4 linked regions of the Schizosaccharomyces pombe genome follow. Changing the gene in region 2 together with the main gene of any one other region gives a genetic interaction. Each region holds a gene or a part of one and is shown on either strand. Other genes may lie near its edges.

Region 1 (3,518 bases), on a different chromosome or scaffold from region 2:
CACTGAAAATCTCTCTAGGCGTGTTATCCTGTTAAATGAGCAAAGCTTGAGAAAATTTCTACCACAGAGAATCTTGCAAGGAACTATTTTATCCTTTGATCCTCTACCTCCTGATACATATTTAAGCGAGTCACAAGTCTTTGGTAGAGATATATCTCGTCGAATTGCGTCGTTCTTGTCCGATTATTTATCCAGAGCAAGAGAAGTTAATGAAAATGAGGAAGAACCCCCTGCTCATGAGTTTGATCTTCCTCCTGCTGAACAATTGCTACAACAGATTGAATCGGAGGTTGGTGAAGAATCAGAAGATGGAACTCCGGTGATGACCCGACTACGTTCATTTTTTGGAAGCTTGTTTACATCAACAAACTCAGAGACGGAACCTGCAGAAGAAAGCACAGAAGAGATGGGTCAAGGGGATTGAATTATTTCAAAAGAATTGTTTAATGAAGTCCTTATTTTCATACAACGAAAGCTATTGTAAAATTATCAATAAAAATTAGATGAACTATTTAAAAATAATACGAAAAACGATGCAAACGCTACTGTAAATACGGTAATCTTAACAAACATGTACAATATGATTGATTAGCAGAATGATTGTATATGCAAGGTACTAAAAAATGTCAAAGCAATTCTTCAAGTATTCAAAATGAATTTAAATGCAAGATATAAACTGCTTGAATGAAAAGCAAAAACAAACAAATCAATATACACCTATACTTTATTGAGGGGGAGGATTTCCTTGGTTATTGTTATCAGTGTTGCCATTATTGTTATTGTTCATAAAATTGCGAGCCAAATTTTGCAGTTGGGGGTTATTGGCAAGAGAACTCAAGTCAGGCATACCTCCTCCAGATTGAAAGTTACGGGCCATGTTGGCAATATTAGGGTCATTCATAATATTATTCAAAGCACCCGATTGCATCAAGTTACGCGCCATGTTCATAACAGCTAAAATCACTTATTAACAATGAATAATGTATACACTAAAAAACTTACCAGGATTGTTCATCAAAGAACCTAAATCAGGCATACCTCCTCCAAAAATGGATCCAAGATCAGGAGCGGCACCAGCAGAAGTGCGAGCTTGGTCAGCTCCAGAAGTAGCGGATGAATCCGATGGTTGATTCAATTGCTTGTTAGCAGCTTCCAAACCTCTCTTTAAAACCTCATTATTGGGATCAAAGTCTAAGCCCTTCTTATAAGCATCAGCTGCCGCTGCTGCATCGCCAAGTGACAATTTGGCACGACCAAGTCGTCCAAAGGCTCGAGCATGATGAGGATCTAAACTTAAGCATGTTAAAGCATCTTCTACAGCATTTTCGAATTGCCCTAGCTGATTATACGCGGCTGCACGATTGGAGTAGTAAACTGGAGAGGTAGGATCGATTTCTATGGCTTTAGTGTATAAATCCAAAGCTTTTTGATAATCCTTTGCCGCAATGGCATTATTTCCTTCAAGTTTTAATTTCTCAGCCTCTTCTTTATTAACATGAGCAGTGGAATCCTCCTCCACTGGATGCAGTTTTTCGTACTCCTCAAAAGCAGCAACTAAACGATCCCCTGACTTGGGCTTAATTTCTTCTGGTTTGATTTTAAAAGAATCTTGAATACATTGAGCTGATTTTGGTTAGATTATCTTAAATGGGGTTACACATACCAGCAACCTCCAAGCTTTCCTTTTCTTCTTCAGAAATCGAACCGGTGGTAATAGCTTGCTTCAAATAGTCAATAATAGCCGCAGTAACTTTGTTAGAGCTCATTTTCCTAATCGTTTTAAGAACCGATTTTTTTCGTATTACTGAAAGTATATCGTGAGATGCGCGAAGGGCAAAATTATTCCAAGCGCCGTTATAGATTTTTATATACGTAAACATGCAAATAATAAAATGAATTTTTGATTCCTAATTATATTGCTATTAAAATAACATTAGATAACTATAGTACCTTTAATGTGAATCATGAACTGTAAAATACTGATATGACAAAAAAAAACAAAAATAGATAGAAACAACAGACAGGAAGCAAAGAAAAAACTAAAAACATATATTATTCCAGGTCCCAGCTTTCTGTCTCAGAATTATATTGAAGGAGATGGAAGGGTATTTGCAACTGTTCAAGGTACGTACCAATGGAACATGGCTTGGTGCGTAAATCATTAGCTGATGTGCGTAAAACAGACTGTGGAACTTCTTGAAGCATGGTTGTAAACTTCAAAGAAAAAACAGGAAATAGCACTTCGACTGCTAATTGCGCAGATTTTCGCCAATTTTGGATTTTTCTTTCAACCACCTGTATCTGTTTAGAATTTTTGTCAGTGTCAAGAGCGAGCTCTACAACGGATAATTGTTCTTTCAAGCCACCAATTTCTAATTCAAGGTTACGGATTCTGTTAATTAGTTTGCTATCCGTTTCACTTGGAGCAGTAGCCATTGAGATAGGCTTGGCACAATACAGCCGTTCAGGTGAGGAAACAGTTAAGCGGGTTCGCGAAATCTTCGAAATCGGAGGATGAAATGGTTTAATGAGAGCCTTTCGTACAGACATTTTATTAACATTCTTAAATGGCCGCGTAATTAAATCTTTGTTGACCCCTGGGTGCATAGTAGATTTAAGAGATGGAAGGCTTCGATTTATCAAAGAGGTAGAAAGACAGACATTAGAATAGTTTGGAGTATTGTTCTCATTGGACAAAATAGTATTTTTATAGGTGTTCGGTTTAATAATATTAGAATGGTTTGAATGATTATTCCCAATTGATAAAACACTGTTTTTGTATGAATTCGGCTTAGTGACATTAGTACGATTTTTGCTATTATTTTCATTCAACACAGCTTCGCCTCTGTTGGAAACCATTTCAGTTTGTACTTTCCCATACAATCCAGTCCAAACATTCTCCTTCCGAGATGCTAGAAGATCGACCCTCTTATGCTTATGGGAGGTAGCAGACTTAGGGGGAGTGTAATCATAGTTAAATTTAATACTTGAATTAGGAATATGCGTGGCTTGTTGTTCAGACTCATTGATGCAAGTTTCATCAAAGTCTTGATCTACACCGTAGGGATTCAACAAATCTTCTTGATGTTGAGATTCAGCTAGTGGTTGCTCAAGTCGACGTGATTGTTTCCGTTCTTCTATTGCCATTTTGTTAATGGTAATTAATGAATTTTCGGAAAAAGTTGGCTCCATATCACTAGGTAATGGAGAAATGTCAAAAATAGTCGGCTCACTAGACAATGGATCTTGACCAGTAGAATCAGAAGTTAAATCAGGGAAGTCTTCATCCTCTCTTGATGGCTCAAAATCAAATTCCTCAGAACAACCATTGTTCCAATCGATATGATGAGGTAACGAGGGCTCTGTATATATACTAGGTTTTATGGTAACCGGAATGACTACAGCATCGAAAACTTTTCTCGGTTTCTTAATCCTTGGAGACAGAGTAGGATATATTTCCTCCTTTTCAGGATACTTCCTCCAGCCTGTAGGTCTTCCCCTTCTTCTTGGCAATCCTT
Region 2 (7,716 bases):
ATTGTAATGTGTTTGTTTACTAATCCATTACACCAATTTTCTTGCACACATTCACATGCAGCACAATAAGGAAAATCATTTTGTAGAGGATGCAAAGCAATTCCAAGAAAAAGCAAAACTCTATCAAGGAAACTACTATACACTGGATGGAGAATTAATCACCATAATACCTAGCTCGAAGGAGGGCTTTCGATCATGCAAATCGCTTTATTATAAGAAGAAGCAACCTATACCGGGAAGGTAATAAAATATAGATGCAGCTGCATCTGCAGCATATTGATGGCGTGCTTGCACATACTCCTCAACCCTTCAAACTTTTACTTCAATAAACGAAGGGTACCAAACCACTACCTTTCTTGAACTATTTTATCAAAGAAATGCATAATAGCATTAACGAATAATGAAAATTACTACCAAACCATTTTGCTTGCCAACAACAATTGAGTTTGTGTAACTTGATATATACTAGAAGATAAATCTAAACTATAGAAAAATCTGTAACGAAAAAAGCCCGATAGTTTTCTCGCTCCAACAAACTCAATAATTTTACAATCTTTAAAAAAATCTCCTTTACAAGTTTATAAAGTGAACCATTCATGCTATGAGCATCAACGAAGAGTGTGTATGCTCATTGAAACATGCTAGACTTTTTCAACAAGTAATCTACTCTATAACATAAAAGCAATCCGGAATGCAAACAACGTGTCATGAAAAGATCAGATTAAAGATAATGATAGAAGAACAATTTCATGGACTCTAGGAACAGGCGCAGAAAAATTAACAAGGTTTTGATATTCAATCGATAATTGCAGCAAACAAAATGCAAGAATACCAACTTGAAAAAATATGATATAATTTGGGCATTGGGAAGAAAGGAAAACCAAACAAATGAATTTATAAAATAATTAAGCTATTATACAGCAAGAATTTTGCTTTTTAGCAGATTTATAAAACATTCGAGACTGTGTAGATAAGTTATCACTACGTTGGATCAAGTCGTCCAACTTCTCTCCTCTAGCTAAGACACTCTCGATTGTTTTATGAAGTACATCTTTAGTTTCATCCAATTCTTGTTGCACTCGCATAATCGTATCAGCCTGCTTGGGGTCTTGATATTTTGATAGATAGGTATCCAATTCTGGAAAGGATAGGGTAACAGCACCAGATTCCCATTTGGTGCGAGGATTTTTTGTCAAAAATTCGTCTAGAATCTTATTTAGAAGAGTATAAGCAACACGTAAAGGGTATTCCTTGTCACTAGCAATCACACCGCACAACCCATCCGATCGGTTGTACACATGAAAAACGTAATTGGACTGTTCAACGTCTTGTCTTTGCCCTGGATTAGTACGTTCTGCAACAGTCTTTGTAAAAAAATTCATGAACTCTCCGATGCTGAAATATTTGTTAACAAACTACTCTTCAATTAAATCTTGCACATACGATGATCGTTGAAAAAATGAGAAACTAGATAAGTCTGAGGCAGTGCATAATAATTGCACTGGTTTTGGGTCAAAGCGGAGTATAGAGACAGAATACAGCTTCATTCTGTAAATATGCTGTAAATCAAGTTAATGGTGTGGGTTAAGTTTGTTTCTGCTTTGGTTGAAAACGCCATACTTCTTGCAATCGTATGTACACACATAATACCTTCGACTACGGTATTTTTCTATTACACAAATAATAGGTAGTGGCCATTTGTTTACAAACCATCCCCTACACTACTAGCAGTGCTAAATTGGGTAGTATATTGGATACAATCCTATAAAAGCAATAAAAATTCAAATTTTTTCTGTTTAAGGAGGTTTTAATTTCAACGATCTATCCTTTTACAGTTTTCATGGAAGTTGAGTTAAATTATGTAGTGAATCACTTAGAAAAGCTAGGTCCTGCTAGTTTTTGTGATACTCCATATAGCTTTTCGCTGAGTGATTCGAATGCTGAGCTAGGTGCTTTATCGTTAAAAGTTGACGAAATTTTGAAAACAAATTATAATTTAATCAATCCCGAGGACGTTACTGACTCCGACAATAATGAATTTGCTCTTAAAGATTTAACTTGGCTGCAAAATTGCTGCAATGAAATTTCTCAATCTTCAAGTACTGAACTTGATGCTTCAGTACTATTTGAAGCAGTCATTATGAGCCTAAAAGCGACTGAAGATCAATGTGCCATTCAAGAAGATTTACTGAATCTTGTTGGACTTGATCATATTGACTTGATTTCAGATATCGTCGCTAATTCGTCCAATTTAATAGAAGAATACATGAATCAAAATGATACTTCAATTGCTGCGCAACTTTCTGATGGCTATACCTCTGAAGCTGGTTCTTCTGCTACGCATGGTCAGGGATTATTAGACAGTTTAAAAAGTAGGCCGAGAAGATTTAGTCGGTCTCGTGATAACAGAGGTCCTTTATTTACTGGACAGCAAGTTTTTGAAGTGGAAAAATATCCTCATGTGTATGGGGATAAAAGGCTTGGTAATACTATTAGCGTCATTGGGAAAAAGTTTGCATTACCGGCTGGTAGTGAAAGAGAAGATTACCAGAAATATGAAGAGATTATTGTTCCTCATGCTCAGCGTGCTCCACAAATGCAAGGGGAAAAGTTGTTAGAAATTTCTTCGATGGATATTCTTTGTCGAAAAACATTCCTTAGCTACCAAACTTTGAACAGAATCCAATCGCTTGTCTATCCTATCGCCTACAAGACAAACGAGAATATGTTAATTTGTGCACCTACAGGTGCAGGAAAAACTGATGTTGCTCTGCTCGCAATGTTGCAAACAATCTCCAACTATGTAGAAAGTATGAATCTTATGGATGAATCGGAACCTCTAGATGTTCATAGAGATGATTTTAAGATTGTCTACATTGCTCCTATGAAGGCATTGGCTGCTGAGGTTGTAGAGAAAATGGGAAAACGTCTCGCTTGGTTGGGATTGAAAACTAGAGAACTTACTGGTGATATGCAACTAACCAAAACGGAAATAGCAGAAACTCAGATACTTGTTACAACACCTGAAAAATGGGACGTAGTTACTAGAAAAAGCGTCGGCGACACTCAGTTAGCCGAGAAAGTACGTTTGGTTATCATTGATGAAGTACATATGCTTCATGATGAACGTGGTGCTGTTATTGAATCACTTGTCGCTAGGACACAAAGGCTGGTAGAAACAAGTCAACAGATGATTAGAATTGTTGGTCTTTCTGCCACACTTCCAAACTACCTTGATGTAGCTGATTTTTTAGGCGTCAATAGGTACAAGGGATTGTTTTATTTTTCATCTGCATTTCGTCCATGCCCTATTGAACAGCATTTCATCGGTGCTAAAGGTTCTCCTAAAATAGTAAACTCAAATATTGATGAAGCTTGTTTTGATAAAGTTTTGAAACTGATTCAGGAAGGCCATCAGGTAATGATATTTGTACATTCTAGGAAGGAAACCATTAATTCAGCTAAGAAGTTGAGGGAACAATTTTTCCATGAGGGAGAGGCTGATTTGTTGGACAACTCACAACATGAAAAATATAGTCTAGCTCAAAGAGATGTTTCAAAGTCAAAAAACAAAGAGTTAAAAGAACTTTTCAAATACAGTATGGGGATTCACAACGCTGGCATGTTACGATCGGACCGACATCTTACTGAACGTTTGTTTTCTATGGGTATTCTTAAAATTTTATGCTGTACTGCTACCCTAGCATGGGGTGTTAATTTACCGGCTTATGCTGTATTAATTAAAGGAACTCAGCTTTATGATCCACAAAAGGGTTCTTTTGTAGATCTTGGCGTGTTGGACGTTTTACAAATATTCGGTCGTGCTGGTCGTCCTCAGTTTGAAAGTTCGGCAGTCGCGTACATAATTACGACACATGATAAACTTTCTCATTACATCTCCGTTGTAACACAACAAAGCCCTATTGAATCTCGTTTCACCGATAGATTGGTTGACAACTTAAACGCTGAAGTTTCTTTAGGAACGGTAACTAATATTGACGAAGCTGTATCGTGGTTAGGTTATACTTATCTTTATATCAGGATGAGACGTAATCCACTTGTATACGGTATTGCTTATGACGAACTTGTTGAGGATCCTTTACTAGGCAGCAAGCGAAGAGAATTGGTATCTGTAGCGGCAGGAAGGCTGGCAGATAATCAAATGATCGTTTACAATAAGAAAAACGGATACCTGATTCCTAAAGATTTAGGTAGAATCGCGTCCAATTACTATATCAATTATCAAACTGTCTCAACATTAAATAATTTATTGAAAAGCAAAATGTCGGAAGCAGACATTATAGCTCTTTTGAGCCAATGCAGCGAGTTTTCCCAAATCAAATCGAGAGAAAATGAGCATCGTGAGCTTGAATCACTAATGGAAAACAGTAGTCCTTGTCAGTTGAGGGATAGTATTTCGAATACATCAGGAAAAGTTAACGTTATTCTGCAGTCATACATTTCTCGTGCGCATGTAGAAGATTTTACCCTAACATCAGATACAAATTATGTTGCACAAAACGCGGGTCGAATAACTAGGGCTCTTTTCGAAATTGCAATGTCAAGGACTTGGGCCTCGGCATTTACTATCCTTAGCTTAAACAAGTCAATTGATAGGAGGCAGTGGTCTTTTGAACACCCCTTACTTCAGTTTGATCTTCCACATGACCTTGCAGTCAAAGTGGAAAATCAGTGTGGGTCTTTATCATTAGAAGAATTGTCGGACATGTCTACAGGAGAACTTGGTGATCTTATTCATAACCGAAAAATGGGCCCTACAGTTAAAAAATTTATTTCCAAATTACCTCTTTTAAACATTAATGTTGATTTGCTACCTTTAACGAAAAACGTTTTGCGACTTGTATTAAATATCACTCCCAATTTTAATTGGGACATGAGATATCATGGAAACAGTCAAATGTTTTGGATATTTGTTGAAGATAGTAACGGTCTTGAGATTCTTCATCATGAACAGTTGCTCCTAAATAAACGGAACGTTAGCACTTCTCATTTACTATCCTTTACCATACCTGTGTCTAATCCATTACCCTCACAACTATACATTATTGCAGTATCAGATAAATGGCTAGGCGCTGAAACAGTTACCCCGGTTTCTCTTTCTAATGTTGTTTTTCATGACGATTCCAATCCCATTACAGAATTATTGGATCTTCAACCTTTACCAATTACGGCTTTGCACGATCCAGTGCTAGAAGGTATATGCGCTAAAAGATTCTCGTTTTTTAATGCAGTCCAAACTCAATTTTTTCACACTATTTATCACACCGATACAAATATTTTCGTTGGTGCACCTACTGGATCTGGTAAAACTATGGCCGCAGAATTAGCTACTTGGAGAGCTCTTCACAATTATCCTAAGTCGAAAGTAGTTTATATTGCTCCAATGAAAGCTTTAGTCAAGGAAAGAGTAAAGGACTGGGGACACAGGTTAGTTGAACCAATGGGGATTAGTATGATTGAATTAACTGGTGATACTAACCCGGATGTTAAGGCTGTTACGAATGCAAATATCATAATTACAACACCGGAAAAATGGGATGGTATTACTAGAAGTTGGAAATCTAGGAAGTATGTTCAGGATGTCTCATTAATTATCCTTGACGAAATCCATTTATTAGGTAGCGATCGAGGTCCTGTCCTTGAAATGATTGTCTCCCGAATGAATTATGTTGCTTCTCAAACTAATAAGAAAGTTAGAGTTCTTGGTTTATCTACTGCTGTTGCTAACGCTAACGATCTTGCAAATTGGCTTAACATAAGAGATGGTCTATTTAATTTTAGGCATTCCGTGCGCCCAGTTCCTTTAGAAATATATATCGATGGATTCCCTGGTAGAGCCTATTGCCCAAGGATGATGTCGATGAATAAGCCTGCTTTTCAAGCCATCAAAACGCACTCTCCTACCCAACCTGTTTTAATTTTTGTTTCGTCGCGCCGTCAAACTAGATTAACTGCAAAAGATTTGATAGCTTTTTGTGGTTTAGAAGACAATCCTAGGAGATTTTTGTACATGGATGAAGAAGAATTAGAAATGATTGTTTCAGAAGTTGAAGATAAAAGCCTCAAGTTGGCTTTACCATTTGGTATAGCACTTCACCATGCTGGTTTGACTGAAAATGATAGAAAAATTTCCGAAGAGCTTTTTGTAAATAATAAAGTTCAGATTCTCATCGCCACCAGCACTCTTGCATGGGGTGTAAATACGCCGGCACATTTGGTAATTGTGAAAGGAACAGAGTATTACGATGCTAAAATTGGAGGCTATAAAGACATGGATTTGACGGATGTGCTTCAAATGTTAGGGCGTGCAGGACGACCACAATTTGACAATTCTGGTGTGGCACGTATATTTGTACAGGATATTAAGAAGTCGTTTTATAAGCACTTTCTACATAGTGGATTTCCAGTAGAGTCTTATTTACATAAAGTATTGGATAACCATTTAAATGCCGAGATTGCTACGGGCACTATAGATTGCATACAGGGTGCAATGGATTTTTTAACGTGCACTTACTTCTATCGAAGAGTTCATCAAAATCCCGTTTATTACGGTGCTGATGGAGATGACCAAAAGAGTATAGATACTTATTTATCGAAACTTGTTGTGACTGCATTTAATGAACTTGAAAAGTCAGCTTGCATATATCGTGTCAACGAAGAAACCTATGCACCTACAACTTTGGGTCGTATAGTTAGTTACTATTATCTTTTTCATACCACCATCAGAAACTTCGTTCAAAAAATAACTGAGAACGCTGAGTTCGATCTTGCGTTGCAATTGCTTGCTGAAGCATCTGAGTTTGACGATCTCGCTATTCGTCACAACGAAGATTTGATAAACATAGAGATTAATAAATCTCTGAAATATTCGGCTGCTTGCCTAAACCTTCCTATGGTCGATGCTCATGTTAAGGCATTTATATTAACTCAAGCTCACATGGCAAGATTGAAACTTCCAGTGGATGATTATGTTACTGATACTAGCACGGTTTTAGATCAGGTTATTCGTATTATACAGTCTTATATTGATGTGTCCGCTGAGCTAGGCTACTCCCATGTCTGTTTACAGTACATATCTCTAATGCAGTGTCTTAAACAGGCTTGCTATCCGAGTGAGATTTACAGAGCTTCATTACCTGGACTTAATGCGTCTAGTGAAAAGGAAGCAAGAGATTATCTCAACAAATTTGCAGGAAATAAAACTGATGAGTTATATCAAATGCTATGTAATGACCCTAACGTTTTTGATATAGAAAGTCTGGTCAATAGTTTAATTTCGTATCCTAAAATGAACATTGAAGTTTCTCAATCGTCTTCAGATAAGCTACTCCTTTATCTACGACGCCTCAATCAGCCGCTCAACCCCGATTTTTACATTTTTGCGCCGTTGTTCCCTAAACCTCAAAGTGAGGGATTTTTCGTTCTCATCATAGATTCAGAAACTCAAGAACTGTTCGCGATACGTCGGGCCTCATTTGCTGGGCGAAGAAACGATGATTCAATTCGTTTATCCCTTCGGATTTCAATGGATATTCCACCAACTTGCCGCAACAGAAATGTAAAAGTCATGGTTGTTTGTGATGGATACCCATTAATTTACGAACATAAAATTGTATTGATGATTTAATGAAGCTTTTGTAGAAAAATAGAAGGCTTTAAGCCAATTTCCTTATTATATTTAAGTCTGTTTAATAA
Region 3 (3,671 bases), on a different chromosome or scaffold from region 2:
TCACAATTTCAATTGGTACATTTTAAGCAAAACATTTTTTTAAATGATTTCAGTTCAAAACTGGAAGTTCGTTCTACCAGAATTTCGGACTTTTAGCTGTCCAAGCGCTGGTGATGTTTTTCATAATATTTATGAAGGCCGTTTCCCCATATATTAATTTATAGAAAAAGGAAAAACTGTTGAAAAATAATAATATATCTGATTATTCTCTTTTGACTTACTACTATGTAGTATACGTATATTTAAAATTGTTGATAGTTTCTCATATTTTCATATAGCGACATTGTTATTGAATTTAAAATTTGTTGTTTTGCGGTGAATTCGGTGTTTACATCGGTATATCCGACTTTGGCTTCCGAATGTGGATAAAGGCTAAAGTTGTTACCAAAAGTAAACAACTACCAGCCTTGCACAATGTTTGTTGTCAAGACTGCTGTATTATTATTCTTTGCATTATTTATTGGAAATACTTATGCATATACTTATTCTCTGGACAGAATTCAAGCATTAAAATTTAGTTCTGAATCCTCCAACGTTGATGATGGACCACGGCTTCATTGCAAAGGACCAGCGTGTAGCTCGCACAGCAATGATTTGGCTATTTGTCAGCATAACCAACTTAACGTTGCTCCTCATTTATTAAAATGGACTTGTGTATGGCCTAATCAGTCTTCTCATGTAGAAGTAATAGATTATAATATTGAGTGCAAAAAAACCGTCGCCTTGTCCATGGACAGCATTACTAAGACATGCATTTTAAACTATAAGTTGGAATGGACCTACTCTGGAGTATTACTACATAGGCCTTGGAAATTGTTTTCATTAAAGCCATTCACTGCTGCGTTTGTGCTCCTCCTTGCGGCTTCATATCTGGCAACTGCCTGTTTCCGTATGCTTGGTTATTTGGGAACACCTAGATCTCGTTTCCATGATAACAGAAGATGGAATGAACAGAAATTTATGGAGTTGGCGGTTTCTGCTGTAGAGGAGCAGTTATCTAATGGCATACAGCTTTTCTCCAATGTCAAACAGAGAGTTCCTGTACCCGTGTTGGATGAATCTGTTTAATACTTTGCATTTGAATCCTCGTGTTTAGCTTCCACGTAGTATCACATATCTTAAATGGATGACAGTCTAACTCTCAGAATAGGCAAACAACAGTTGAAATCGCACCTCTGTTACATATATTACAAGTTCATTCCCTTATTAATCACTCATTAATGAATGCCTCCTAATTGAAATCGAGCGCTGTCATCCCCACGGCTAATAATCGTTAGATTTCTGCATTCTATTTAGTAATATTCTTGCATTATTACCATCATATTCTCTGTCCACTTTCGTTTGCTTCTTTAACTTACAGTTAGAGAAAATACACTTTAAAATATAATAATGGAAAACAGCTATATTAAAAATCAATATTGGCATAGCAGATCATTCATAGTATTATATAACTTCTTGATATAAAATTGTTTCTTTTTTCATTTATTTGTTCAGCTGTATATGGTAATCCATATTTCGTACTAAGCGCTTCGTCTACCGACGTTGTAGGTTCAACCTTCCATGTACATACCTTCCAACAAAACTTTCTTACATATTGATGGCAAATAGTGGCTTATAGACAGATATTTTAGTTTAACTCATTCTCTAAAAGTAAAATCACTTGCATTCTTTTGAGGTGGTAGAGGTGGTTTAAACTCAAATTGTTAAAAATTTGTTAAAGTATGCAAAAATGAACACCGAACTGGATATGCAGAATTTCGAACATATTAAGTTTCTAGAGAATCAGATTAGTGAGGATCATTTTCGTTGGAAAAAAAATTCGAAACATCTATACAACTTACTAATAACCCGTACTTTAACATGGCCCTCTTTAAGTATCCAATGGCTCTCAGCAATGGAATCGATCACTGAAAAAGCGGTTTTAAAAAACCGTCTTCTCCTAGGGACTCATGCCGCTGAAGGGATGCCAAATTTCTTGCAGCTTGCAGATTTAGATTTACCTGATTTCAATCAAACTATATTGGATCCAGTAAAACACTACAATGAAGATACTGGTGAGCTAGGAGGCTATAGTATGCAACATTCTTGCAAGTTCCAAATCTCGCAACGAATTCTTCATAATGGCGATGTAAATCGTGTTCGACACATGCCTCAAAACCCAAACATCATAGCTACTATGAGCTCTTGTGGAAATGCATATATATTTGATCGGACAAAATATACTTCAATGCCCGCTGAAGAATTTTTACCAAATATCTCTTTGATTGGGCACAAAAAAGAAGGGTTTGGACTATCTTGGAATCGTCAGCAAAATTGCCGACTTGTAACAGCTGCTAATGATTCGAAAATTTTAGAATGGGATCTAAATAATTTTAGCCGTGATACGAGGTGCTTAACTCCCGTAAAGGATTTTCATTATGATGATTCTCCGGTTAATGATGTTGAATATCATCCGCACCACACCAACTTATATATTGCTGTAAATGATAATGGAATTGCCTTTATTTGTGATAACCGACTTCAACAAACATGTTCGAAAACAGTTAAAGCTTCAAATCCCCTTTTTAGCGTCAGACATAATCCTTCAATTGCGACTTTGTTTGCTTTGGGGTCTGAGCAAGATTTACAGCTTTGGGACCTTCGGAACTTAAATAAATCGGTTTTTAACACTTCTGAAGACTTATCAGATAATAGATTAAAAGTGCCTTCTAGACTAACTCTAGGAGGCACCAGTTTGTCATGGAGCTGGAGACACTCTGGTCGGATTGTTAGTGCCTGCCAAGAGTATTGCTATGTGTGGAATTTTAACAAAGCTAATCCTTTGGAGTTTGTGCATGCAGGTCATAAAGGTACGGTGAATGAAGTGGACTTTGATCCGTTTGAGGCACAATGTATTGCTTCGGTTGCTGATGACAATGAATTACACATTTGGAAGCCCAATGTTATTGTTAATTAATAAATACTTACATCCATCACACGAGGTAATACAAAGTTTTAAGTTATACAGCAATTAATTAATTGCAATTTTGATGGGTATGTTGCAGGGCTATATTGTATTCATTCATCTTCAAATTTGCTCAACGTGTACATTAAAATTACCTAATGACATAGAGATATTTCATTACTAATGAAAAGATAATTTTTCACTCACTAATCGTCCGTTCGGTAATCAAGGATTTCCTACTTATGTTCTTCAATGTATTTCCTATAAAGTAGTATTAGTAAATATATTCCAAACACTCGCTATAGAGCAATAGCTTTACTTACAAAATGAATTCTTCTTCTTCTTTGCTTTTGGCATTCAAAGGAGGAACATCCTTTGCGCTAAGTGGCTTATTTCTTTTAAACAATTTACTATAGATCACAGGACCAACAAATACTGAACCGAGAACAGCTAAACTCAACTATGTTCATTGTTAGGTGTACGGAATTTGAAAAATACATACTTGATGAGCTTGGAATTGACGACCTGCAATTGTATAAACCGACATAATGCTTATATTTAATAGTGAATGATTGAATCAAGAGAAGGGAGGTAAAGGTTTAACACGGTTAGCAGCGAATATGAAGCCGACTGTAAACTTAGCAATCAATATATTCGTTAAATTAGCTTAACGAAAAATAAGGAATACAGTTATCACTTCAAGTACATATAAAATTGCAATAGAATC
Region 4 (4,348 bases), on a different chromosome or scaffold from region 2:
ATGAATTCAGTACTTCAGTTGATGACTCAAACTCCACCGTTGGTTCAATATCTTTTATCCGGTCAACATTCTTTATCCTGCCGTATGAATGCATGTGTACTCTGTAGAATGGAGCAACATGTCGCCCGTGCCTATCCCAACAAAGGCACCAAACGAGCTTCGGCCTTCAAACCTTCAGGTATACAAAGTATGCTCAAAGTAATTTCCAGTCATTTCCGCCCATATCGCCAAGAAGATGCTCATGAATTTATGCGATATTTGGTTGATGCTTGGCAAAAGTCTTGTCTTCAAAACCATAAAAATCTTGATCATCCAAGCAGGGAGACTTCGGTAGTACACAGAATTTTTGGTGGTTACCTACGCCAGCAGATTCTATGCTCAGTTTGTAAAAAACCTTCCAACACCTACCAAGCTTTACTTGACTTATCTGTGGATGCGAAGGGCTCCTCCTTGGCAGATTCCTTAAAGCATTTTGTGCATGCAGAAAAACTTACCAAACAAAACAAATATCGATGTGAAAATTGTAAGCAACTGGTGGATGCGTCCAAGCAAATGACTATTTATCGGGCACCAAATATTTTAACCATTCACTTCAAGCGGTTCACATTCAACGGTTTCCAATCTAGCAAAATCAGTAAGCAAATTTCATACCCTGAATCATTCAATCTCGGTCCGTATATGTCAGATCCCAATTGTTCTTGTTGGTACGAATTAATTGGGGTTCTTGTACATGCAGGCGGAAGTACCCGAAGCGGCCATTATTATTCGTTTTGCAAAAGTAGTAATGGTGTTTGGCTTAAATTTGACGATGATTTCGTTTCCAATTCCAGTATTGATCGAGTTTTGAATCAACAGGCCTATATTTTGCAATACAAGAGGAAATCAACTTCATCGTCTAAACACAAGCTAAACACCGAAAACACGGTTACCAAAACTTCTAATAAAAAACGGAGAAAAATTTCATTTTAATGCGATACAGTTAGCTTGAGCAGTTAAAGTTTTTGCTTCCTTTTGCCTATCTTTTTTTTTAATATGCTAATGTCTCTCTTATTTAGAGGTTGATGGTATAATATTATTGCACGTAGAACATTTTAATCTTGAAACAGCGATTTTTTATAGAAATCATTTTGTAAATTAAACCGCTGCATTGCATAAGACTGAAATGAGCAACTTTTTAGCTTTTAAATCAGTTCGTTGGTCAAAATGATAATTTTATTTTGACATATCTTCTGTTGAATTATAGCGGATTTAATGCTTATCTCCTACGGAACCGGGTAATTCTTCCTTAGGCTTTAGCCGTAGGCATTGCATTTTATTAAAGTACCTGAAGTTATCTTCTTCTCCTTTATCGTTTTTATGAAGAAATTGATCATTATTTTCAATGTAAACATACTTGATACCCATTCTATTATAACGACAGTAAATCGTATTAGCAAAAACATTTAATTGCAATTTTTGCAAATGTAGAGGTCGGTTATTAAATTCATAGTAGTAGAAGGTTTCCAATTAAGCTTAACGGATATATTTGTTAGTGCCACAAAGTGCTACCATCTTCGTCATATAGATTTCAATGGAGAGGAATGAGTAACCCTTTGCACCCAACGACCAATTTCCAAAACTCCTTCAAATTGACTAGTAAAGTGATTTTATATACGTGAAGCAAATCTATGTTTAGCGATTGTAAGTAGTAATAGAAGAAAGTTACACTAACGAGTAGATGCTTCGCGTTTTCTTGCACAATCAAGATTCTCTTCTGTTGACCAGCGCAATTTTAAATATCCTACCTCAAGATCGAATCTTCAGAGTGTTAGCATAGACAGAAATAGCTCAATTGATAGTCATGAGACTGATTTGAGCGCCGGGTCTTCGAGTTTGCATGGTTTGAACTCCTTGATAGATTCTGGGTCTATCCATTGGCAATTACGAGAACAAGAGCAGTCAAACTCTCATATTTCAAGGAACGAAAACGAGTTATTTTCTAAAGAGAATTCTATTTACAATGGAAATTTCTCCGAAAATTTAGGTGTTCAACCGAATCCACAGACTATATCTCATGAAAGCGTAAATGAAGAATATACGGAATTACCTTATGATGCCCATCTTCCATCAGAACAGAAGGTTCCAGATCGAAAATGGGGATTAACATTTGGATTTTTGACGTTGGCTCTCTTTACCTATAGCTTCCTGATGGTTTGGCGGACAAATCCTAATATTCCTCCAGCCACTTCTCCTTACGCAGCAATACAAAAAGCATTTCCATTATTTCATAAAGATGCGATTATTTGTATGATGCTTTCAGTTATATGGCTCTTCTGTCTTGTCGCAATTCCTCGTTTTCTGTACTTCCTGCTAGCATCGGTCCCATTGACCATGTTTGCTTTTGCTGTCTACTTGTTAAAAGCGTCTAGGATCCACTTGGAAACGTCAATTCAACCAAAGTTGATGCTATTAACTGGGATAATTTTGCTTGTTGCACCCATTCTGCTTTCATATTATGTTTGGCGGCGTCGTATTCATTTTGAAACTTCCTTTAATATTATTCGGCTTGCTTGTCGTGTTATAGCTGATATTCCTCAAATCACTTTAATATTCATCAGCTTCTTGTTTTCGTTTTATGTTTTAATCTTTATATGGGTAAGATTGTTTGCCCGCTTATTTTTGCGCGGTTCTACCCTTGTTGGTTCTGTATGGGTTTTGCCGAGAAGTTCTTGGGTCTTGGCCTCCTTTTATTCACTTCATTTCTTATGGTTGTGCACATTTTTTCATGCTCTTCAATGGTATGTTATTATATTGCTTTGGCCGGATTTTTTACTAACACAATTGTAGCGCTATTATTTCTTCAATTGTTTCTCAATGGTTTTTTTATCGTGATACTAAGTCTTCGGCTACCAAAACCAATTTAGTTTCTCACTTTTTCTATCACGTTGTTTCCAATCAGTATGGTTTATGTGCCTTTTCTTCCTTTTTAGTTGTTATCACCAAAGTACCATTGCATTTCCTACCCACATGGCTAAGACACGTTTCGCGTATTGTATATTATATGTTTTCAAAGACGTCTGCTTCGTATGTCACATCTCCTCTTACCCTAGCATACGCATCAATTTACTCAGTCCCGTACATGAATGCGTCCAAGGCTTTGTATCAAATCGAACAATTGAACCGAGTAGGATTACGCCGACGTTCCTACTATTTTTCTAAATACACTTTGCTAGCCGCTCGTTCCCTCCTCGCTATAGGAGTTGGCGTTACTTCGTGGAATTATTCCATTCATGAAAATGGTGTCTTTTATGGCTACATTGTAGGACTTTTAGGCGGATTCCTTGCTTGGCTTATCATTGGCGCCATAGAGGGCGGCCTCAGCATGATGTGAGTAATTATATTTAGTTATCCTCGCGTAAAATACTAACTTTTTCACAGTGTGGATGCGTTACTTATATGCTCTATTATCGATATTTCTAGCTGCCAAGGAGATCCTAATGGTTCTCACTGTTTCGAGGCATGGCAGCTTTTTGAATCAAATGGATATTAAAACCAAAAATGCGAATTACTTCTTTTGCTGTTTTTCTGTTTCTTTTAACTTCCTTAGAACCTACTTTCATCAAAGAGCTCAAAGAAAGAGATGCTGGTCACCTGTACGCGTATCCCTATTCCCTTTTACTTCATTAATATAATGTCAGCCTACTTTTTAACATTGACACCTTGGCGTTTGCTAGGATTTCTTTTCATGAAAAGTTTTTTCTCAAGCTATCCATCATATCACTGTAAATTAAAATATGATATTTTGTATGCAATTTCTTCGTACTAACTTAAAATTACACTTTTATCCTTCGTAAATACAATTTAACAAACGTAGACATATCATTTTTAACATACAAGCAAATAAACCCGAACCCGACGTGTAACTTTTACAAGTTAAGAGGGTTACAAATATCTGCAAAACTGTCTGCGAAAAGACAAGATATAAATAAAAACTCTATGATACTTAGACATTGAAATAAAAAACCTACGTTAGATAAAGTCGTTAAATCTCAGAAAGAGGAGTCCACAAATGATAGAAGCCAGACATGGATAGTATGAATACAGTGATTAAGCCTTTTGTTCGGCATTAGCCGAAACTTCTCCATTTTGAACAGTTGGCTTTATGTCCTGCTGTTCCATAGCTTTACTAGCAGCCAAAGAATCCAAAAGATCATGAAGAGCAATCACGGCCCTCACGATGCTGGAAATATAAATGGACATCAACTGATCATTGGAATTCACATTGAAAGCACGTTGTGCCTCTGATTCCAAGGCCTGTTCTGAAACCACAGGACCGCTAAAAATGTTAGGCAAAAGATTAAACACACTC

The links.
Region 1: mutations in rqt2 (region 2) and sgt2 together harm fitness more than expected from each alone (negative genetic interaction), as found in Schizosaccharomyces pombe (one large-scale study listed by BioGRID).
Region 3: mutations in rqt2 (region 2) and pcf3 together harm fitness more than expected from each alone (negative genetic interaction), as found in Schizosaccharomyces pombe (one large-scale study listed by BioGRID).
Region 4: mutations in rqt2 (region 2) and ctl1 together harm fitness more than expected from each alone (negative genetic interaction), as found in Schizosaccharomyces pombe (one large-scale study listed by BioGRID).

Annotation. Positions count from the first base shown.
Region 1 is NC_003424.3:3,627,121-3,630,638, forward strand, and holds sgt2 (SGT2 family TPR repeat-containing protein), read right to left. Parts: upstream 1,836-3,518; 5' UTR 1,767-1,835; coding exon 1,664-1,766; exon of another isoform or gene 1,624-1,663; coding exon 1,003-1,623; exon of another isoform or gene 955-1,002; coding exon 725-954; 3' UTR 555-724; downstream 1-554. Other genes in the region: protein Rqc1, read left to right, coding at 1-424; DNA recombination mediator Swi2, read right to left, coding at 2,053-3,518.
Region 2 is NC_003423.3:3,744,000-3,751,715, reverse strand, and holds the start of rqt2 (ATP-dependent RNA helicase), read left to right. Parts: upstream 1-1,706; 5' UTR 1,707-1,840; coding exon 1,841-7,648; 3' UTR 7,649-7,716. Other genes in the region: protein smp2, read left to right, coding at 56-244; SNARE protein Ykt6, read right to left, coding at 906-1,395, 1,444-1,547.
Region 3 is NC_003424.3:2,529,724-2,533,394, forward strand, and holds pcf3 (CAF assembly factor complex subunit B Pcf3), read left to right. Parts: upstream 1-1,560; 5' UTR 1,561-1,729; coding exon 1,730-2,956; 3' UTR 2,957-3,154; downstream 3,155-3,671. Other genes in the region: mug105 (ubiquitin-fold modifier-specific protease), read left to right, coding at 1-96; protein meu29, read left to right, coding at 415-1,068; atp19 (F0-ATPase subunit K), read right to left, coding at 3,181-3,205, 3,268-3,404, 3,447-3,491.
Region 4 is NC_003421.2:391,504-395,851, reverse strand, and holds ctl1 (choline transmembrane transporter family protein), read left to right. Parts: upstream 1-1,586; 5' UTR 1,587-1,667; coding exon 1,668-1,680; intron 1,681-1,717; coding exon 1,718-2,777; intron 2,778-2,826; coding exon 2,827-3,366; intron 3,367-3,417; coding exon 3,418-3,529; 3' UTR 3,530-3,830; downstream 3,831-4,348. Other genes in the region: ubiquitin hydrolase Ubp16, read left to right, coding at 1-969; proteasome regulatory subunit Rpn8, read right to left, coding at 4,087-4,348. UniProt on the Schizosaccharomyces pombe protein: Required for the normal organization of the preautophagosomal structure (PAS) and for the correct subcellular location of atg9.